Alligator mississippiensis: one gene and its partners. The protein of the gene in region 2 purifies or fractionates together with the protein of the main gene of each other region. This does not show direct contact. Links are inferred from orthologs where the notes say so. Each region holds a gene or a part of one and is shown on either strand. Other genes may lie near its edges. The genes, in order: UBTF, RUNX2 and SMAD1.

Region 1 (7,819 bases), on a different chromosome or scaffold from region 2:
TTTTGAAGCTGGCCTACATATCCTATACAAGGAGGTGGTATTCCTGCCAACAGCGACTGACAGCAAGCGATGCTGTGAATTGTTTTACACCCCAGTCCTGTAAACACGTATGTATGTACCTATGAGTAAGTTTCTCCACCTGACTAGCTTCAGCAAACATAGGGGTTCTGCTCACAGTTATTGATGTGCATAAGTGTTTGCAGGCTCACAGCCTTGGACACCTGAGTTTTGTTTCTGATGCTGTAACTCCGTTCAAATGGATAGACCCTTGCATCCTCAACAAGCTCCTAGAAGAAGCAGCTGAACTCCGCTTCAGTGCAGGACACCAGCTGCACAAATCAGGTCACAGCAGCAGGGCTTTTGATTACAACTTTGGGGGAATAATACAGCCTTTGGGCAACTTGATTTGTGTACAAATGGATGTTTCATAACTGGTAGCGTAGGCCAGTCTGGACTGATCAGCTGAGAATCATATGTTGGGTACAAAATGTATTGCTGTTAGTATTTATATTATGAGAGAACTGGAGACCCAAGCTTAGCATAGGTAGCTATTGGGCTATGTACCACATAAATGCCCCCAAAAGCTCATGTTCCCAATAGAGAAAAGCCCAAGCAAGAATGGGGCACAGGGCTTGGAAGGAGGAAATGGAACAGAAGTGACTTGCTCAGGTCTGCACAGGAGGGAAAGTGGCAATCAGAAGAAGGACATGGACACTGCACTGCAACTAGAGTCAGGACACCCATTAGGACATGTTGCTTTCATTCACCAAAACCTTTTAAGAAGAGTGGAAACATTTCACAGACTGCAGTTATGCCAATATCCATGCTATTCCAGTGGCCAGAAACATCAAATCTACTCAAAACAAAGGCACGAGTACAAAAGGTAGAGTGTCTTGCACTTTGCCATGTGTCAGCTTTTCTGAACCTTTTTTTTCCTCAAAGGTTACACACAAGAAAAGAGATTTGTATCTGAAGCTGTCGACAATTCTTTCAAGGCAGGGACCAACTTTGTGTTGCTTGTACAGCAGTGAGTACACTGGGGCCTGGAACTGCTAGGTATTATTGTAGTAGTATACAAAACATTTTATATATTAATGAATTTTGTAAATAGTGAATATTTAATAGCAGTAATTGATAAGTTTTACTACTACTATTAGAATTATTAATATCTGCCCATCAGTGTAGATTCATCCCTTGGTCTTCCCCATAACGACAGCCCTGACACTCATAAAGAGCTTCACATTCTCAAAGCAGTGCATGAATGTTAATTAATTTATATGAGGAGGGAAGAGTTTGTATTCCCCTGAAGGAAGAAACATTGTCTCAGTAATCAGGTACCAAGTACTGGTAATTTACTCCTCTCTATAGGTGACTGTAATGTAAGGATGGGGACATGGGCAGTCTTGTGGAGGGTGGGGTCAGCCAAGTACCTGAGCCAGTAGAATCCAGATCCACAGTCTAGGCCAAGGGAGTCAAAAGCAGATAATCAAAGTCACATTTCTAATCCCAAATTATATCCATGTTCATAGTCCAAGTCAGGCCAAAGGTCAGGAACTGGAGAGTCCAAACAGAGGACAGGATAGGTTAATATGAATGCTCCAAGCTAGAGCAAGGCTGAGTTATTACAGTGTGGAACATACTGAGTAGGCTAAGGCCTGGGTTTTTATACTCAGCCTAGCTGGCTCTGCAACCAGTCAGCTTGTCGCTTGCACCTGATGCTGCTCTGCAGCTAGGTGAGACTATTTATACAGCAATCTGCCCTCTAACTGTAACCAGGAAGAGGATAATGACACTAAGGAGTTTCTAGGGTGATGTCACTTAAGAACTAGGTCTTAGCCCCACTCTCACCCAGACTCTGGCACCAGTGGATTTATACACGATGTGTAAATAAAAAAAAAAGGCTTTGGTCCTCATCTGTTCATGAGCTCTGTACTGGTAGATCCTTAATACCAGCATGAAGCTCAATGGAGGTGGGGGGATTTGGGTATGGCTGCTCTAATTCTAGCCCTGGTGGTCCCTGATGGAATTGTTACACATTATACATGGGCTACACAGCTCTATTCACCCCATTTCATACCTGACAGCACAATGGTTGAAATGAGTGCAAAAATGCAAATTAAATGCAAAGAGCTTTATAAGTAGTGGGGGCTATAATGGCATATTCATGCACCACCTTTACTTGTGGCCCTCCATCACAAAACCTCTATAAAGTAAGCACCGCTGAAAGGAAGCTGCATCTGGAGTGGAGTATAATAGCCAAACTGATCACAATAGCCAAACACTGTTATGCAGCAGCAGCAACAGGAGGAAAATTTTGACCGAGGATATTGTGGGGAATCCCAGAGCTTTACTGAAATGTCTCAGCAATTGGCTGGCATTCCTTTTGCTAGCAAAAATTGTACTCTCACATTTTCAGGCCTGCCATGCTCTGATGCAAATCTGGTAGTTAGAGATGCATTTTTCTAGAAGTGGGCTAGACTTTTCCATCAGAACATTTTTTGTTGCTATAAAATGTTAATTTGTTGAAAGCTGTTTGCAAAAAAAAAAAAAAAAGAGTCCCTTTTTCTGAACTAAGAATAAAAAACCCACACCAAAAAATAACAAACCAAACCAAATCCATGTAGTAAATATGTCTACATTGTCAAAATGAGATATTTTTCCAAGCAAAACAGTTAATCTTTTTTCTGGTTTGAAATGATGTTAATGTAGCTATTTTAATTAATATAGATTTTTTTAAAAAGATTTAAAGATGAAAATACTGAAACTTATGAACTGACACAATTTGAGTTATTTTCCAGATTAATCATTTAAAAATATCTTCCAAAATTTGACTTTCCATCACACATTGGGACAAGAAAATACTTTGAAATCTCTTGTGGGATAGGCAAACCACTTCTCACCAACCTCTAATATCTATTAAAATGTGCACTTGCAACCTTTAATTATAGGCCTTAAAAAATACAGGCCCATTTGCCTGTACGTGAATTGCTTGGATTAAAAAAAAAAATGATCTGGCCTTTTCTATGCAAACTGCACAAACCTTCAATTTGTAAGGCTTAATCCAAGAGGATTGCTATTTTTTTTCCACCAAAACAGAGTAGCTCCTGGGTGAGCCACCATTTAGCACACCTCAACAGCACAACATGAGAGCAGGAAATGAAACATTCAGGAATCCTATGACAAGTATATAATTCCAAGGGGTTGTGGGGGGAGGGGGGGGTCTCTCTAAAAGCATGGTTTCCTAACATCCTGGGTAGGATTGATTCTAAAATAGGTTCTCCCTAGTCACTAGCTCTTTAAATTAATCATCATAAATGGACAAAACAGTAGTACATTTAGCAGGACCATCTGATACACCGTTCCATTTTCCATATATAATGTGTGTGTACTTATGTAAATAAAATATATATAAAACCGTGTGTGCATAAATCTGTGTGCATATACATATGTGTGTGTACACGCACACACTATCCTCTCTATATAAAGATCCCTCGTGGCTGATGCATATCCAATGCAACAGGACACAACAGCAATTGCAGGAGAGAAGAATCCTTGCACTGGTAAAGAAACGGAAGCCATGCACCCCCTCCTCTCAATCTGCGGATTTTAGATTAGGTCGTCGTTCCGTCCTCCCCCCCCCCCCCAACAGCTCATAACACCTAATTGCATTTTTTTTGTCTGTAGGAGCGGTTTGCTTATTGGGATTGCCATTAATTTGACAGGCAGAGCTCAGGCAGGGGATTGGCTAGCAGCAGATGACGCCCATAACAACAAAGGTGGAGTTGGAGAAATTACATTAAAAAAATTAAGAGAGAGAGAGAGAGAAGGAGAGAGGAAAAAAAGGAGAGGAAAACTCTCCCCTTCCCCGCCCCTCTGGCTGTGAAATGTACCAGTGTGTCAATTTCACGGTCTCGTTAAGAAAGCCCAGTGTGCCACGCAGCCCGGAGACGAGTGTGATCGCACTTCAGTCTGTACGTGCATTTCCTGGTGCAAGAGACACACAACAAAACTCCCCCTTATTTTTTTTTTGTCTTCTTCCCTGTGCGCTTGTTTACAAGGCAGCCACTTGCAGTGTAAGTTCTGCTTCTCCCCGTGCGCTGGTGCCAGAGCTTGGCCCGGGCCTCGGAACTTCGCAGGGAAAACCCGAATGCTCTCTTCTTTCCGTGCTAGGTGGGACTTGGAAAAAAACCCAAACCTTTTTATCTTTTTATGCTTTTTTTCCGGCCATGCATTTGAAATTAAAGCGAAGGGGACTGTTGGTGGCTCATGTGCCTGCTGCCAACGCCAGAAGAGGACTGTTGGAAGTGTCAGAAGAGGATTGTTGCTAATGTAAGATTTTTTTTTCCTCCTGTCTCTCTCTCTCTCTCTGCCTCGCTCTCTCTCTCTCCCTTTTCCCTCCTCCTTTCTTTTGGCTGGTGTTGCAAAAGCAAAGAGCAATAAAAAACACACACACACACACGCACATAGAGAGAGGCAGAGACACAGAGAGCCCCGTTAAGAGCCAGAAGAGAGAGTTTAAAAGAAGAGAGGAGAAGCCTGTCCCTAACAATCCCGCTTAGGGAGCAGATGGAAAAGTGGAGACTTGTGAAGGGCTGTGAGGTTGGCTAAGGATCCAGGAGCGAAAAGAGCCCGGCTGATTGGAAGAAAAAAGCAGAGAGATGGAGGCGGGGGAAGTGCAATCTCTCTGCGGGGACTGGAGCGAGTCCACGCCCGGGGCCAGCGCTGCAGAGCTGGCCAGCATTCAACCAGCGCTCCCCAGCTAAAGCACCCAAAAAGGCAGCCCCCGAGCCCCTGCTCCAGCCCGGGTGGTTTGCAGGTACGTGCCGTGGAGAAGCCAAGCCCCCTCCGACCTCCAGCAGCCAACGCGCCCGATGCAGCCCCCCGTTGCAAGGGAGGGTGGGTGGGAGAGAAGGATCAGGGGGAGGGGGGAGAAGGCACGATCCGAAGCGACGCTTGCTGCACCGGGCTGCTTTGCTGCAGCAGGAGCGCATGTGGAGCTCGCCATTACCCGCCGCTCTGGTTCGCCATCTGGGGCTGGAGGAGGCGCTTTGTTTCCTCCCCGGCGGGCTCCGGCGGCTGCTGCTCTCTCCAGCTCGCAGCCGCTGCTCGGTAAGGCGGGGACCGGGGCCGGCTGCAAGCGGGGGGACCGGGGCTGCGGCCGCGCGGGGGATCGAGCCGGATCCCCGCGCGCTGCGCGGCCCGGCGGGGAGGATCGGATCTGATCGGATCAGGTCGGATCGCCGTGGAGGTGGCGGCGATCGCGGCCGGACCCTGCGGCGGGAAATGGAGCGGGAGCAGGGGCCGGGCGGGGGAGCGGGAGCCGCGGCGGCAGCAGCAGCAGCAGGCGCCCAGCGCCGCAGCCCGGCGGTGCCTCCGCCTGCGGGGGGCCCGGCGCCGCACGGGGGCTCGGCGAGGGGGGAGAGCGCGAGGGCGAGGCGGCTGCTCGGCCTCCGCGCTGCCCCCTCCCTCCCTCCGCCCGCCTTCCCCGGCGGCTGCAGCTGGCTGTCGGGGGCAGGCTTCCAGCGCTGGGCGGTCGGTTGTTTTTCCCGAGCCTGCTAGTTCCGCGCCGGAGCTGCTGAGGTCGCCATCCCCGCCCGCCCGCCCGGCTCCTCGCCGCCGCCATCCGGAGGTGCGTGCCCGGGCGCGTCCCTGCCCTGCCCTGGCTGCGGCGCTGGGGTGGGGGGGGGCCGCGGCGCCGCTCCCCGGGGCCGGCGCGGGGAGGACGCGCTGCCCGGCCCCGAGCGGGGCCGCGGCGGCTCATAGCCCGGGCGGGGCCGCGGCGGGGCTCCGGCGCCTCGGCCGCGCCAGCCATTGTTCGCCCGCGCGGCGCGGCGCGAGTCCCGGCCCCAGCCCGGAGCCGCGGCGGCCCCATTGTCCCCGGCCGGGCCGCGGGAGGGCGCGGGGGAGGCGGCCCCGCGCCGCTGTCTCCGGCGGGCACCGAGCCGCGCGGCTGAGGCGGCGCCTGTCCCCGCTGGCGGCCGGGGGAGGGAGCGGGCGAGGCGGGAGCGGGGAGCCAGCAGGGGCGGGCGGGAGGAGAGAGAGAGAGAGAGAGAGAGAGAGGGAGGGCGGGAGGGAAGGGGCCGCCCGCAGCCGGCGCCGAGGCGGCGGAGTCAGCTCAGCTCGGCGCAGCGCAGCCCTGCCCTGCCCTGCTGAGCCGCGCCCGCCCGCCCGCAGCTGCCGCGCGCCCTGCGGTGAGAGCCGGGGCCGGGCGGAGCGGGGGCCGCAGCTCCCCGGGGGCGGGCGCGGAGCGGAGCGGGGGGCGCTGCCGGAGCTGCGGCGGAGGCCGGGCGCGGCGCGGCGCGGAGAGGAGGCCGCCTCGTCGGCCCGCAGGGGGTGGGGGAGGGCGGCGCAGCTGCCGGAGCCGTCGGTCCCAGCCGGGTGCTGCTGCCTGGAAGAGGAGGAGGAGACTGGCGCCGGCCGCAACTGCATTTGGGCAGGGGCTGCGCAGGGCATGTGGGGATCCGGCCCGCCCGCGGCCCTGCCCCCTCCCCCGGCCCGCGGGGATCCCTCCTCCCGCCCCCCCGCCGTGCCGCCCCCCCGCGCCGCGGTCCCTCCCCCGCCGCGCGGGACCCCCCCGCGGGCCCGCCCCCCCGCCCGGGATCCCGCCCCCCCGCGCGCGCCTCCCTTGGCTCCCCCCTGCCGGCCCGGCCCGGCCCCGCAACGGCGCTGCAGGCCCTACCTGCTGCTGCATGGGGGCGCCCCGCCGCCCCCCACCCCGCCGGCCTGGCCCCGGGGCAGGGGCGGGACCCCGCGGGCGCTCAGGTGTGCCCGGCCGAGACTGGGGGCGGGGGAGGAGCCTGGGGGGGGTGCCTCCCAGGAGGTGGCTTTTCCTACCTCCTGGCGTGGCTGGGCTCTTCCACTGCTCTCCCTCGGGGGCTACCGCCTCGACCCGGCCCCCGGGAGCCACCCTCCACTCACTCACCAGCAGGTGAAGGGGTGCTGTGCGCTCCAGCTCTTCCCTTTTGACTGGGAAAGGCTTCCTCTTGGAGTTGGGCAAGGGGTTTCAGTTCCCTTGACTATGCCTCTTCCAAGCAGAGGGGCTTTTTGCAAGCCATTTATAGCTCGGGTTTCCCTTTGCCTTTTAGAGTGAAGCTTACTTGATTTAAGGTAGACTCGGAAGGAGCCAGGAGGCCCAGAAGGGACTGCCCTTGGGTCAGACAGGTGGAGAATGAACGGAGAAGCGGAGTGCCCTACGGACTTGGAAATGACAGCTCCCAAAAATCAAGGTGAGAGTAGCCCCGCTGCCCAAGGATGCCTGGCTCTCCCCCAGCTATGCAAGGGACCCGGGTGCTGAGATCCCTTTACACCTCCCTTCCAGCTGTCTCTGGAAGACTCGCCCAGTTTTGTGCCCGTGAGCAGTTCCAGTTGGACGCTCCCGTGTGTGAAATCAAGCACTTGCATAACCGCCTGGGGGAAGGGGCTGCGAGAGCAGCGTCACCCATTCCTAGCATGCTTAGAAATTAGCAGGACACCTTCAGTTTGGGTTTAAGAGCCTGCCCAGTACGTTGACCAGATCCTGTTACGGATTTGGTCTTTACACCATTCTTTCTCCTAGCCCTTTCACGGGAATGCTGGAAAACATTGTTTCATGCTTCATATTGGCCCCTGAAAGCAAGTGATAAACCTAATAATATGCCACCCCACACTCGTTTGGTCGAGCTGCAGACATGGCAACAAGCCTGGCTGAATCAAACGGCCAGTGAGATGCTTTTAAAAAAAAAAAAGGACTAACTTTTATTGGCCTGTTTAATTTGTACATTGATGCCAATCTGGAACAGGGGGGACCCGGGTGCGGTTCCCTTTATTTTTGCTGGAATTG
Region 2 (7,390 bases):
GTATTGATTCACTTTGAACAAAAGGCAAAATTATGAGAGCCTTAGCCTATTTGAATTGGTAGGCTTAAATTTAAAAAAACTGAAAGGAAGGCATATACAAATAGAACACACTCAAACTTGGATTCAGTTCAGAGCATACCTGTTGAGCAGAATTAGTCTAATGAGTACAGAACCTAGTGTTTAGATAATTCAGACTTAAAGGAATAAGACTGTATGCTCTTGAAGTTACAGAAGACCCCTCCCCGCATCAGGTGATATGAAAATTTGCAGAAATACCACAGGTTGAAACAGATTAGCAGGTACGTAATTCAGAGACGTGATTCATGCTGCAGTTCCAGTTGGAATAAATCGTGGAACAGAATTGGAAGAGATTAAATGCCAAACCTGACAGTACTTAAAATGATAATCTAATTGTGCATTCTCATAAGCAACTGCAAAAGTGCCTTAGTAGTTTGGAAACAATAAATGGATGAGTGATTTGGCTCTTTTTTTCTTTACAATAAAGCGTAAACATGAAAATAGGTATTTTCACAACTTTCAGGTATACTGATGACGTTGATATGAGAGAAATTTTGTTTTAGACATTCATTGTAGTTTGTTTCTAAGGATATATTTACATACCCTTCTTTTACACAGAATTCGGAAGAACTCATTGTCCCGGTTATAGCACTTTGCAGTAGGTTAAAGAATGACCAAAAGTAGACTAATTCAGCAGTCGGCACTGCATGTTATGATAATTTTAGCCAACTTACTTTCTTCTAATCTCTTTTGGAAGTAAAAGCAAAAGAAAGTCCCTATACATGTAAACTGTATTTCCTGTTGTAAACACTGGGATAATGTGGTCTGGCTACACTTCTGCTGTGCTTCATTAAGAGAGCAGTTTTAGTAGAAATGCTGCCTACAATTTAAAGACTATTTTTTGTATCCGCACTTCACTCCAGTTTTTCTGTGAGGTATAACTATTAGAGCAATTGTAGACAGTACTGAGATGTAGCATTTCCAGTGCCTATGTGCATTTTAAACGCAACAGTTCTCTGTTCCTTTAAAGCTTTTTCTTTATGTCTAATTGTGCTCATAGACTTAAACTACATTCATGTGCTTAGATAGGAGCCAGTTGCAATGCGTGAAGTAGGAGGGGTAAAAGGAACTCCAACCATCAGCTAGTTGCAATACAAGCTTAATCTATACTGAAAGCATATGTAGCATCTTTTTGACTAGGAAAAAAAGGGAGGAATAAAGGAAATAGGTTTAACTACAGCCCCATTATAGCTTCATCATGATGGACAGCATTAAGAAAATTTTGTAAGTTTTGAAAATGTTTTACTGTTCTTTCAGTTTGTTTTCTTCCTCTGTCTTAAATGACTCAGTGAGAAATCTTTCATATGTGTCTGACCACTGATCAAATGTGATCAGGGGTCAGCATTTTGCTATTGCCCTTTTAAACGAAAGTTTGAAAGCATTTAAGATTTTATACAAATCACTCAAAAGTTAGTCTCGTTCAGTTTTATATAGGGGTTCTCTATCTCAAAAGACATTGATGTATATTGAATCCAACAGCAGATCTGAGAAGAATAAAAGGTTTGGAGCTAAATGATGTTAGAAGTACAATGTGTGTACTCTCAGTAGGGTCATGCATGTAAATCTACATGGTACATGCATATGTGGAATGCTAATTCATAATTGCATGATTTTATGAAGGTGTTTTAAGACATCTGTGTTTACAGATCTGAATATTTAATCCAATATTTGGCAACATACCATTATATAAAGTAGCTTTAAAAATGCTAATTTCATCCACTTTTTTGAAACTTCAGGTTTTTTGGTGGCTTTTTTTTTAATGCAGAAACTGCTCTTTGCTTAGTCTTGACTTAAGTATGGTTAGAAAAACTGTATCGGAGCATTGATGCATTGTAAACCATGCCTTGCTGTGAAAAAGTGGAAACATTAACAGATTGTTGGTCTAACAGATTCCTGTTAGCATATTACTAGATGAAGTTTAATTTGAGACATCTAGGACAATTGCTAGGGCAGTGATGTGCAGGAAAGGATTTCAGATGCTATATTTTATCTAGGCAGACAAGGTTCTTTGGTTGAATCTGATATTTTACTAACTTTTTTTCAGATACAGAGAACTGGCTGTTAAATCATGTAACTTACTTCTGTTTCAGTAATTTGATTACCCAGTCATGTTATAACTGTATAGAAATGTCCCATTTTATTCCTAGTTTCTTCACCTTGTATTGTAAGATGTGGTTGATTCTATTAATTTAATACTTTAGCTTTTTACCTAGTTCAAAGCAGCATCGTACGTCTCCAAGTACATGTCGCAGTACACATGGAGTCAGATAGGTGACAGATGAGCACACCTGCTGTCAAATGCCAAGGTATAAGCTGGTGATTTCATGTTGCCTAGCTTTTCAGTTAACAGTGTCGTTCTTAATATGCACGTATTACTTACAGTAACGTTTTTTTTTCACCTGACTAAATCTCCCATCTTCAAACCATAATATATCATTCAACAAGTTTGTTTTTCTGTTGTGACAATGCCCAGTGCTTACTCAGAAAATTTAAAAACGGATTGTGGTACTTACCCCAAAAGAAGTTTTGCTGACATGGTGTCACTGAGCTGAACAGACTGTTTGATGCCATAGTCCCCCTCTCTTTTCACACAGAACTTGTACCTTCTGATGTAAGTGCTGCTTGGAGCCTTAAACTGCAAACACAAACCATAGCCAAACCTTCCTTTAGTTTTACAGAGTGCTTGGAGTGCATAGACTCCTATATTTGTTTTTTTCTGTCAAAAAATTGTGAAGCGCTGGTAACATGTGAAAAGCAAGGAAACAAAACAAAAAAAAAAAGAGAATGAGCAAATATTTGAAGGACCTACTATTACTGCATAGACTGTGGTTAGACAGCACTTACTGACTCTGTTGGTCTCAGTGGCTGGTAGTGACCTGCGGAGATTAACCATTTAAAAACCAGAGGCTTCTTGCTGTCCTCCTGGAGAAAGTTTGCACCGCACTTGTGGTTCTGTGGTTGTTTGTGAGGCGAATGAAGCATTCACACAATCCAAAAAAGCAAAAGCTTTAAAACTCCTTTTTTTGCAAGCACTGTTACTGGAGAGACAGAATCATGTGGTTTGTGACATCAGAGTACTCAAAGTAAAGTGGGACTGCCTACCACTGTGGCTTTTTCTTTCTTTCTATTTTTTTTTTTTTTATTTTGACAAAAGGCCCGTGGTAAGGCCCTTCCTGGCATCCAGAAGGATATAGCTTTTTAATTTTTGTGACTCATGAGGATTTGGAGGGAGTACAAAATGTGAAAGAGCCCAAACTCCTGTACAGTTAAAGCATATGGACAGCAGAACTTTATTTGTACTCTCACTTCAGGTTTTCCCCCCTCTTTTTTTTTTTTTCTTCCCCCCCCCCCCCGTCCTGTCTCTAGCTTATTATTGTGTCTGTGGCAAAGTGAGCAAAATTGGCGCAAGTGGCTGTGTGAAATTCTGAACAACAGTGATGATTTACAATAATTTACATCTTTGGATTGTATCACGATCTTGGGTCTGCTTCATATTTGCTGGGTGGCTGGATTCCTTCTGTTTTACTTTTTCTTCTTGTCTTCTTATACTTGTGAATCTGTAACTCATTGTAAGAAATTTTACCTTTCGTAAGGTCTAGTAGCAGCTTGTTGGGGCTGTTTTGTACTGTAATTGGCTGTCATAGAAGTGTTAGTCTCGGGATTCCTTTACAAATTTTAAATCATGTCTGTCTTGCTTACATGTATTCAAGACTAGCTGGCAGTTTTATATAATGACATTTAAGTGTAATTATATACCTTTTGTATATTGTACAGAGTGTCATTTGGATGCTGTAAATTATTTGGGTACTGCTTTATACATTGTGCTTTTAGAATAAAAACTGTTGTAGGGATTTAATATGGACGCTTAACATAATGAATTGTATGGATTGTGGGATTTTGATTGCACTTACATTAATTGTTTCTTATAATTTTAATGTTACAGAGGAACAGCATAGACTTTAGACTTTTTGGGACACTGTAAATAACTTTATTCAGCAGTTACTGTTAACATCTATTTTAAAGATGAAGCATAAATTTGATGCATATGTTGGATTTGAACACTTATATCAGGTTTGTGTGTGCATTCACAATATTATCACATATTTAACTTTGACTTTGTGTAGCATAAACTTTTTACTATACCAGTACAGAATGGGTTAACAGCAGCAGTATTTTTTTGTGTTTATAATAGAGGCTTTGAAATAAATTGCAAAATGCTGTGCATAGTAAGGAATAATATGCACAGACAGTGTGTATTAGTAGTCTTGATTTGCTCACTCAGATTCAGAACAAAATTGGAAACATCTTTGGGAAACTGTCTTATTTTTGCCCCTTTGGACATTTATATGTAGAACTCATTTTCTTGTTAGCATGATTGTATACCTTGGGCACTGCATTTTATAGTTTCATCAGAGTGTAGGATTTTTGGTATATGCGGGGAAGGGATAGAAGCATGGCAGTAAAAGAAAGTTGCTAAGGATTTTCAGCCTGTATTTGTATCACTTCTGATGTCTATATCCCTGGCAACTAACCTCCCTCTTGCTTCCCCATTCTTCCTACCCCTACTTCCCGAATAAGAAAATGACCAGAAGTGGTGTGAAACTAATAAATGGAAAAGTGGGTGGAGACCGGGTTTGCCTTTTGTTCCTTTTTTTTTCCCCTTTTGGTGGATGGAGGTGAGGAAATGGGAAAGGGGAATTTTCAATTAAAATCACAACTTGTGAAAGTTTTCTTTTTTGGAGGGCTGATATGTATCAGAAAAACATAAAATAATTTTGTTTATCAACGTCTCTGTCATAATGCCTATTACAATGTATACTGTGCTTGTATTTTGGAACATTTTCAGTTCTTAAAAGTTGCCACATTTCCAGAATTCTTCTTAAAATTAGGAGTTATACAGTGAACTGTCATGTAAAAAAGTAAAAACCATTATTTAACTTGTCCCTTTTGAAGATGCATTTCTTGTACCTCTAAATGTTATATTATGGTACGACCATCACTGGAAACAAAAAAGGTAAGGTGGTAAAAATGATTGACTTTACTGGCAATTGTATCATAAAAACAAAGTATATTTGTTTAGGTTAGAAGTTTAATTAACTTTTAATGTAATAAAAGCATTTAGAGGGCATTTCCCTATAATTTGTTGAATTTCAGTTCACAGAATTTGTACAAAGTGCAGACTTCTGCAAATTCAGTAACACATTGAAAATGTTTATCAGTTTGCATATTATGGTAATGAAAATTAATTTTCTTATAACTAAAATGTTGCCGGCAGACTAATTTTTTTTCATTCATTGAAAACCATCCTTTATAATTTTAAAACCGAAGAAGTTTATTACTAGTCAGTTCTTCAGTGTCTGAAAAGAAACTTGCCACAGAGGTGTTGTATCTTTCTTTTTTAACTTCTGTAAATTGAAATAATGTCTTTAATTCTTCAAGATAGCTGGGGCTTTTTGTTTGTTTGTCTGTTTCATTCTTTCACTGATATATTTGTAAGGTTATTTACCAATGTTCCCTTTTAATATGTTATCTGCGAGGTATAATTTTTTGAGTAGCACCATGGAGCTTTTTCAACTTAGATTTTAAGATTTAAATCACTAAAATAAATTTTCTATTTAGCATGGTAAAGTTTACCAAACAATATAAAAACTTGTTCCAGTGTCTGGTTGGAGTGTAGTTCTTAAACATGTTTTCTCTATTAATTTGGAATTTAAATATTTCTTGGCATTGGAAATGTTTCCTTTTTAGTGGGTATAGTGTGGTGGGGGGAGGAGGTTTCAAGCAAAATTGTGTTTCAACTCAATACCTGGCAACCCCTTTCTTCAAAAATAGTTTGCACTTTTAGTGCAATGAAGAAGAAATCTGAATTTTGAAAAGCTGTTGTGTAAACAAGTCTCTTGATTGCAGTCATACATTTGACAGTCTTTTGTTTAAATGGCAGAACTAAAAAAAAAAAAAAATCAAAGTTAACTTAAAAAAAATCCACAGGGGATACTTTAAGTCACTGATACAATTACACTTACAAAAGGAGTATCAAGTTAAAGAATTTGCTTTGTAAATTATGGACTAGTTCTTTGATGACAAATTAAATCTCATTTTGAAATTAAAATCAATTGTAATACAAACCTAATGCCATCGTATCCTTTATCTTTTTGGAAATTTGTTTTGAAAACCTTTAAAGATTTGCTTTATCTTATTTCCAAACATTTTGCTTTTTGTCGCTCATACTTTTTATACAGCAAATAAACAGTACGATTCACTGGGGAAAGTTTATTTGTACTTAAATTTGTTTTGATGCTATGGTTAGAGGGGTTTAAAAATTCTACTTACTCTGGTAGGATGATGGTCTTGCAACTAAGTGTAATTTATTCAACGAGTAGATGATAGTTTAATAGTTTTCCACACAAAGTGACATAGATAATACCCTTTATTACTACTTCAGATGCTTCAACTCGACAGATTTTATTCCTTAGATCCGTATCTATTGGTGCTACATTTTTCTGTATCTGAACCAACCCGTGTGCTTGGTTTCAGCATCTCACAATCAGAAGCCATTCTCACCCTCCATTATAGTTTTCTTAGTGGTGTTGGAATTTACTTTTTGGTAGTTCTTACTAAATTGATGTAGACTTATTCTGTCCTAATGTGTATAATTGTAGTATTTTCATATTTTGTGGATGGGCTGTGTAGACTGGGATTTTTCACTTCCAGCATCTTTATAGTTGCTTAATACAGCCTGAATGTTAATATAAAAGATTTTTCCTTCTCTTTAATGGAATGTGAAAGTACCTATTAATAAAATAACATCCAGTAAAAATACTCTTACAAGTTAGGTTTTTTTTCCTAATGCCACTTTTTAAAAATACTGACTCTTGTCAGAGGTTTTTTTGGGCATCTGCAGGATAAATGAGGGATATTCAAATGAATGACAAATGTATCCACTTTGATGCTCCTCTTTGCGTCTTATTCTCCCTTGACTTCCATGCACTAATTTAACAAGAAAGATATGAAGCTGCTTGATTGATTTAGAAATCACAGATTGTGGGGGAAAAAAGTAGCTTTTTCTTCCCAGGTTAAGCAAATATTTGGTTGTCTGCCCCCTTTTCATTGAACTCATACTGTTAAAGATCAGTTTAAATCTGAACAGAAAACCACTATGACAGATTAAGATGACAGTAAGCCTTTGTTAATCAGTGATACATTTATTTAGTAGTAAGTAACATAATTGTTTTATGTTGCCTTGGGTTATTAACTTTCTCATTTATCATTACTCAGAAAAAATGTTCACCAATTCAACTTCAGTGTTGAAGTA
Region 3 (7,655 bases), on a different chromosome or scaffold from region 2:
AAGATCACTAGTATGCAGGAGAAAAAGATTAATGATGTTTGTCTGCTTTCTTCACTTTGTTGTTAGACTATGTAGCCACTCTGAAGAGACTGATCATTTTTTCAGGTCAGAAAATGATTAATACAATTTAGTTAAATTCCCCCACAAAATACATGCTGTTTATACAATTCTATTATTTCAGCTAATAACCATTGCAGAAAGAGGTTAACAATCAAGCTGCACATATTCACACATTTCTCTTCTTCAGGCTGTAAGTGCCAGTTTCAAATCCTCTTCGTATCTTGCAAACTGTACATATGTTGCTTTCTTTATTTAACTACTGCACCACCCATATTTGAAGCATAATGGGCTATGCCACAGACGCTTGCTTTGCTGCCCTCATAATATGGTTTAATTATGATGACTGAACTAATAGGCTCACATCACAGACTTTTACAGGTTGACCCCATGTCATCCTGATGTCTCATTTTGCACCAGTACAGTGCTGTAAATCAATTTAAGATCTCCAGCACGTTGAAAAGGCTGGTAATGATGCTTTTTCTGCAGTCTCAGGGGACTCCACATTATACACAACTTACATTATTTATAAAGCTGAGATGATGCCTCCATTAGCCTTGTAAGGCTACACAAGTGAGAGCTTTTATATATGCACACAACTTGGACTTCACAGACCCGCCTACTCTATGTTAAATATAACTGTTTCCAGATTTTTTTTTAATTGAGTTCTACATTTGTTTTTAACATGCACCTATTGACTCAGATTTTAGTACAAAAATAATAAAAAACTAGTTAGTAAAAGAAGCAGCATCAGTTTTAGCAACCTTGATATCACCTCATTATGTTATTCACTATGCCCTGATTACATAATCAGAATTCAAATGCTAGTAATTTATCAGCTCTGTGTTAATATTTGACAGTTAATATTAACACAGAAACTAGAGAACCTCAACCTTCAGTTTATCCAGTCAGTTTTTTTAAATACGTGAGATCATCAGATCTTCAAGGGTACAATAAAAATGGCAAGTAGAGAGGGAGACGAGAGAGGGGGAAAATGTATTTGATTACATACCTAGTGGAAGAAACAGTGAAAACTAAAGCAAGGACAAATCCGTTTAGGGTAACCTGAGCTTCCTTGAACTAATCCTCTCTGGAGGCGGTAGAAGGCTCCTGGATCACCCAAGTCCTGAGAAGTCCCTCTCAAACCCCTAGTTACAGTGCAAGATGAATTGCAGGATTAGAGCCTGAGCACCATCACAAGAATTCCAAAATAGGTTAAGTTTCATTTAGCATAAAGAAAGCCTGAAATCAATTACTGTAGAGGAGTCAAGAAAAAACAAAACAAAACACCAAGTACATAATATTTGTTATGCCAGCTGTGAATGGAGAATCTTATACCAACTGCCCTACACAGATCTCCAGCTCAGATGGATTTATTTTTATGCTGTCAGTTTTAACTGGAAGCAAACCTCCCATAAATTTAACGCACCATAGATGAGACTAAAATCAATTGTAACACAGCAAGTTCCTTCACACGATTCTCATTCATTGGTACAGTGAGGTGTAGGCACTTGGCCACATGAAAAACTACCATAATCAGAGACACAGGTACAGAAGAGTCGTCTCCGCAGCTTGGTGAGCCTCTTTTGAGCCCTACACTATATGATATTCAGAAGTCCCACAATACAGCTAGGTTTTACACTCAAGGAAGGAGCAAATCAAGAAAGACAGAGCTGCCAGATTTTAAGCCACAACCTGCTTGAAGCACAGCCTCTCTTTAAAATGCAATTTTCTAAAGATGTCAGATCCCCTGAATTATCCTCCAATAAACTAAGCACATGCCTAGGAGTAAAGCTGAGCAGCGATCTTTTCTATTTGTTATTGCTCTAGTTGATAAAGGGGGGGGGAGCAAGGGGAAGAAAAAAGAGGGGGGGAAATTAAAAATTAAAGGGTTGGGGGAGCACTTGATTGTCACAAGTTGCACCCATTCTCAGGCACAGCATCTATTCTCCCCCGCCCCCCAAATAAACTTAAATAAAGTCTCTGCCTACATCTAAGCAAAAAAACACTCATGTATGGTGTTAAGCAAGCTACAAAAGCCAATCCACACATTGCCTGCAGATGATAAACCAGTATCAAAGGGCAGAATACAGCAGTCTTGACTGAACCCCAGCCTCCCATCGCCTCCCCTCATCTTGCATACACGTGCATGGCTAAATCCAGCAGGATTTGCCCTGGCAAGAGTGCATGACTGACCGCTTGCATGCCCAGAAACTTGAATAAGAACCTGAGGGTGAGGCAGGGAGAGAAGATGAAGGGCTGGCAAGTCTCATCATCTTGTGAAGCACCAGCACATCAAAGGCAGAGAAGAAAAAAAAAAATAAATAAAAGATCCCAAGGAGAGAAAACCCCTCTGCATCCAGCCCTGCTGAAGGAGAAGCATTTTGTGAGTGAACTCGCCTTGACCTCGGAGCACAGATTCCTTGTGGAGGGGGGAAGGAAAGAGATGAAGGAGGAAAGAGAAAAAGCAAGAGACAACCCCCCCCCTCCAGGCCAGACGGACTAAGCTGAGGGAAAAGAGGAGAGAAAGGTTTTTCTCCCCAAATCAAAACAAAAGGAGGGCAGTGGCGCTGCCCACAACTCCCGCAACTTCCCCACAATGGGGCCAGGGCAAGAGGCGAGGCGTCCAAAGGAGGAGGAGAGGCAGCTCCCGGGCCTCCTCCCAACAAAGGCAGCTCGGCGGAAACCCGGAGCGGTGGCGGCGGGCCCTTGCAGAGGTATCCCGGCATGGCCGGGGTTGAGCAGGAGGCGAAGCGGTCAGGTGAAGTGTAGCTGCGCTCCCTCCACCCACAGCCCGCCCAGCAGCAGCGCACGCACCGCGGTTACCGGGACGGGGCGCCCCGCGCTGCTGCCTCCTCCGCGCCCGGGTCGAGCTGCGCGCGGCGGCGTCACGGAGCCGGAGCCGCCCCGGGCCCTGCACAGCAGCCGCCGCCGGCTCAGGGCTCCGCTCCCAGCTCCCGCCCCGCCGCCGGGAGGCCGGGCCAGCTTCCCCCGCCGCCCGCACAGCCGCAGGGCTGCTCCAGCCGCCGCCGAGGAAAGGCGCGAGGGAGCCTCCCTGCCTGGGGCGGGGCCGGGGCGGGGCCGGGGGCGGGGGCTGCTCCCGGCCGCGGGACGCTGCTCCGGACGGACACACGTTACGGATGTTGCGCGGGGGATCGCGCCATAAACGCGGGCGGGCTGCACACGTCTTGCGAGGGGCGCTGGTGAACTACTTGGGAATCGCTCTGCATGGGTGGCTAGTCCGTATTGAGTGTGTGATTCAGTGCATTGCATTACTGGTTATCGGATAATGGTATGGGAATTACTTTGCATGTGTGGGCAGTCTACGTTTTTTGCAAGATTCACTGGTTAACTACGTGGAAACTGCTTTGCACGGTTGGCTAGTCCATATTGATTGTGTGATTCAGTATATAACCAGTTGATGTAGAGTGCAAAGTAATGACCACACCATTAACTGGCTACTGGTAGCCAGCAATACACCGAATCAAGTAATAAACATAGACTGGCCACCCACGCAAAACAATTCCCACAGTTCAAGAGTCACTGGTTGACTTATGTAGAGTGCCCACACATGCAAATTAATGACCACACCATTTGTTGTGAGATTCGCTGGTTAACTATGTGGCAATTGCTTTGCACGGGTGGCTAGTCTTATGTTTACTGCATGATGGAGTGAATTACTGGTAACCGGTTACCAGCAATTCATGGAATCACTCAGTAAATGGAGACAAGCAAGAGAGCCACAAGTGTAAAGTAATTCCCATGCAATTAACAGGTGAATTATGCAATAAGTGCAGACCAATTGTACCACCAAAGTAATTGCCATGCCATTCTCTGGGGAAGCCCACAATAAATGTAGCTGCAAGGTCGCAGCCAATAGCAAAGGCACCACAGCGCACTTAACCAGCAAATCACAGAAAGTGCTGACTGGCTACAGCTGCAAAGCAAATTACTACTAATTAACTGGTTACTGGTTACCAGCAATTCACTGGCATAATATAAATGTAGACTACCCACACATGCACAGTAATGACTACACAGTGAGTCCCACAATAGGCGTAGACTGGGACACCTGCACAGTAATGAACACAGTTAACCAATGAATCGTGCAATAAATGCAAGCCAGCCACACATGCAAAGTAACTATCACACCATTAAATGGTAACTGGTTACCAGTAATTCACTGAATCATGCAATAAATGTAGACCAGCCACACATACAAAGCAAGTGAGCCACAATTTGAAGGGCACTGCCACACAATTAACTCATGAATTGTGCAATAAATGTAGACCAATTGTACCAGTAATTACTGTTCAACTAACCAGCAAGTCCCACAAGAAATGTAGACTGGCACACATGCAAAGCAAGATGGGCCACAAGTGCAAACTAATTACCCACAATTAACTGGTGAATCCTGCAATAAATTTAAACCTGCCACATATGCAAAAGAATTATCCCACACACTGCTGGTTACTGTTAACTGGTTACCACACAATTAACTAAATCCTGAAATAAATGTAGACCAGCCACACATACAAAGCAAGAAGGCCTGAGGTACAAAATAATTACCATTCAATTAACTGGTGAATTGCACAATAAATTGAATTCCCCCTGCAAAAAATAACACATACACACACACACACAATTAACCAGTAAATCCTGCAGTAAATGAGCAGTGTGCCCTCGTGAAAAAAGTTAACAGCATACCGGCCTGCATTAGGAGTGTTGCCAGCAGATCAAGGGAACTGATTCTTCCCCTCTATTCATGCCTAAAGAAAGGTGTTTGTGCCTAAACGCCTGTAAAGAATAATTTTTCCAACTATGTAGTTGGTCTAATAAAAGATATCAGATTTACCCAAAGAACCTTGTGCCCCTTTTTTCACCACTACTGAGGCCACATCTTGAGTACTGTGTCCATTTTTGTGCCTCCCACTACAGAAAGGATGTAAGCCAATTAGGGAGTTTAGCAGAGACGACCTACACAATGGTGAGGGAGCTGGGGCACATGATGTATGAGGAGAGGGTGAGGGAACCAGGCTTATTTAGTCTGGAGAAGAGCAGATTTGAGGGGAGGGGGGAATTTGGTAGCAGCTTTCAATTACCTGTAGGAGTACTTACAAAGAAGATGGAGCTAAACTAAATTAAACTAAGCTAAACTGAACTGTTCTCAATGGTGGCAGATGACAGAACAAGGAGCAATGGTCTCAAGTTGCAGCAAGGGAAGTTTAGGTTAGATAGTAGGAAGAATTTTTTCGCTAGGAGGGTAGTAAAACACTGGAACAAGTTACCCAGAGAGGCAGTGGAAGCTCTATCCTTGAAGGTTTTTAAGACCTGGCTAGATAAAGCTTTGGCTGGGATAATCTAGTTGGAGATAGTCCTGCTTTGAGCAGGGGGTTGGACTAACCCTACTTTTCTATGATTCTATGAAATGTGAACTACTCACATGTAAATGAGTTGGGCCACAGGTGCAAAGTAATTACCACACAATTAACTGGTGAATCCTGCAATAAACGTAGACTAGTCACACATGCAAAGTAAGACCCTGACAAGTGCAAAGTATTAACTGGTGAATTGCACAATAAATTTAAACTGGCCACACCTGCAAAGTAACTATCACACATAAAATTGACTATGCAGCTGTAAAATTAGTCAACCAGCTATAAAGTTAGTTCTTGAAAGTGTGTAAACAACTCTATTGCTGGTTTCTATTCAGCTTTAATTTGAATGTGTGGCAGGGCCCTAGATGACCTCTACTCTTGGATTCCAGGAACAGAAAGCAGCTTGGCTCATTGCTTATTGTTGCCTTGCTACCCTTAGCCTGTAGCCAGTGTCTGCTTTAAACACACTATGTGATCTAAATTGCATCAACATATACCAACTATGTACCACATAGCTACCATGTGCAGGGTATTCAGTCTCTATGAAACCATGAAAAATAACTATGATTTTCAATGTTCACTCAACAGTTTGAATTGGTATTAATCAATGAATAGGTGAGAGCCAGAAATTACACATAAACCAGTATAAGTGATTGAAAACCAGTTCAAATCTGTAACACAACAGAAGTTCAGTGTACATAAATCACTTTCAGAATGGCTGAAATTGGTTTAAGATAAACCTGGATGGATGTAATATCAGACTTAACAGGTTTAGGTTCAATCAGTTTATTGAACTTATGTACTTCTGTCTCAGATCCCCCTCCAGATTCAAGTTTAGTGTCCCAGAATCCCAGGATGCTTTGCACCTCTCCCACAACCCCCATTCCCTCCCTGCCCCCCTGGTGGGCAGGCTAGCTTTGGCCCAAGCTGTCTGCTTCAGCCAAGGAAGGAGGTCTGTTATAGCACCCCCTCCACTTCTGGCTTTGGGCACTGCAAGGACGTGTGGCTGCATTTCCAGAATCAAAAGTGAATGTCTGTTCACTTGCTTATTGGTTTAATCTACACATCTTAGATTAAGCTATGAAGATTGAATTGATTCTGTCTCTGGCTTCTTGACCATCTGTACTTAGCCATACTAGTCTGGCTGTATATAGTACTTTTCAGCCCCCACCCCTCCCCCCATGTATGTAAGATGTTTTGGACTTCAACCCAACTAAGCATTCCTTAGGGAAATATTGCTGATTCAGGCAAATTAATCCTATTACTTCAGTGGTTCTCAACCTTTTAGGGCTCAAGGCACCCCTTCAAAAGTTCCAGATGTTAGTTTTCACTTGATTTTTTGACTACAGAAAACACTACAGCAATTCTTGTGTTGCAAAGAACTCACAAAGATCACAACAGGATAGAATGCTTTTAGGAAGGGAGTATTATTTGAAATCTGTGGGTTTATTTTGTGAAATGTGTTTGTACACCAGAGAGTGCTAACATTGTGTGGCACCGCGTGGTACACTTGAAAGGATCTCAAGGCATTCCAGGTTGCTGTGGCACCTTGGCTGAGAATCAATGAACTAAACCTATTAATGCAATCAAACTTGTGTGAACGGAATCTTGCCATACTATGGTTATGAATCAAAGGAGCTCCATCTAGGTTGCAAGATTATGCTCCAGAAGCTGGAGTTGGAGCTGATTTGAGGGTCTACATGCATAAGTAATTATAGGGATTTTTCTATTGACCATGTAAGTGCATCACAAATATTATTAAACTCATGCTCCAATTCTGAAATGAATGAATGGGGACCTAAATGTGGGGTAGAAACAAAGGGGTTGTTTATATGAAGATATATTCTGGCATAGCTATATGGGGATACTTATACCTCTAGAGTTATTCTATAAATTTCCCTGTGTATATAAGCATTAGGTGTGATATTAACTTAGCTTTAAAACACAAGGGAGATAGAGGCACAGAATAGCCAAGGCTTTATAAATTACAGGAATAAATTTTACTTACTCACATATATAAAAATATTCATAAATGCCTGTAAAATAATCTCCCTAAGTCACAAAAGGAGTCTGTGGCAGAGATAGGAGTAACAGTCAAGTTTTCTAGCCCTGGACCTCTGCCTCAAGAGCATGCAACTTCCTAACTAAACTTCAGCCATCTCTTTGGTAAGCAGGCATGCTATTAGTACACCAAATATACCACCACAGTGGCAGAAGAGG

What was found.
Region 1: the proteins of RUNX2 (region 2) and UBTF purify together in Homo sapiens (co-immunoprecipitation; 3 studies listed by BioGRID and IntAct, with this or other methods). This does not show direct contact. The link is inferred for Alligator mississippiensis from reciprocal best matches to the Homo sapiens genes RUNX2 and UBTF.
Region 3: the proteins of RUNX2 (region 2) and SMAD1 purify together in Homo sapiens (affinity purification with western blotting; 3 studies listed by BioGRID). This does not show direct contact. The link is inferred for Alligator mississippiensis from reciprocal best matches to the Homo sapiens genes RUNX2 and SMAD1.

The regions. Positions count from the first base shown.
Region 1 is NC_081827.1:159,407,871-159,415,689, forward strand, and holds the start of UBTF (nucleolar transcription factor 1), read left to right. Parts: upstream 1-4,725; 5' UTR 4,726-4,816; intron 4,817-5,019; exon of another isoform or gene 5,020-5,109; intron 5,110-5,539; exon of another isoform or gene 5,540-5,629; intron 5,630-6,107; exon of another isoform or gene 6,108-6,191; intron 6,192-7,085; 5' UTR 7,086-7,168; coding exon 7,169-7,226; intron 7,227-7,819. UniProt on the Homo sapiens protein: Recognizes the ribosomal RNA gene promoter and activates transcription mediated by RNA polymerase I (Pol I) through cooperative interactions with the transcription factor SL1/TIF-IB complex.
Region 2 is NC_081824.1:12,513,840-12,521,229, reverse strand, and holds the start of RUNX2 (runt-related transcription factor 2), read right to left. Parts: upstream 3,002-7,390; 5' UTR 2,923-3,001; intron 2,714-2,922; 5' UTR 2,650-2,713; coding exon 2,592-2,649; intron 1-2,591. UniProt on the Homo sapiens protein: Transcription factor involved in osteoblastic differentiation and skeletal morphogenesis. Essential for the maturation of osteoblasts and both intramembranous and endochondral ossification.
Region 3 is NC_081825.1:101,104,963-101,112,617, forward strand, and holds the start of SMAD1 (mothers against decapentaplegic homolog 1), read right to left. Parts: upstream 3,078-7,655; 5' UTR 2,884-3,077; exon of another isoform or gene 2,875-2,883; intron 2,711-2,874; exon of another isoform or gene 2,285-2,710; intron 1,180-2,284; exon of another isoform or gene 1,070-1,179; intron 1-1,069. UniProt on the Homo sapiens protein: Transcriptional modulator that plays a role in various cellular processes, including embryonic development, cell differentiation, and tissue homeostasis.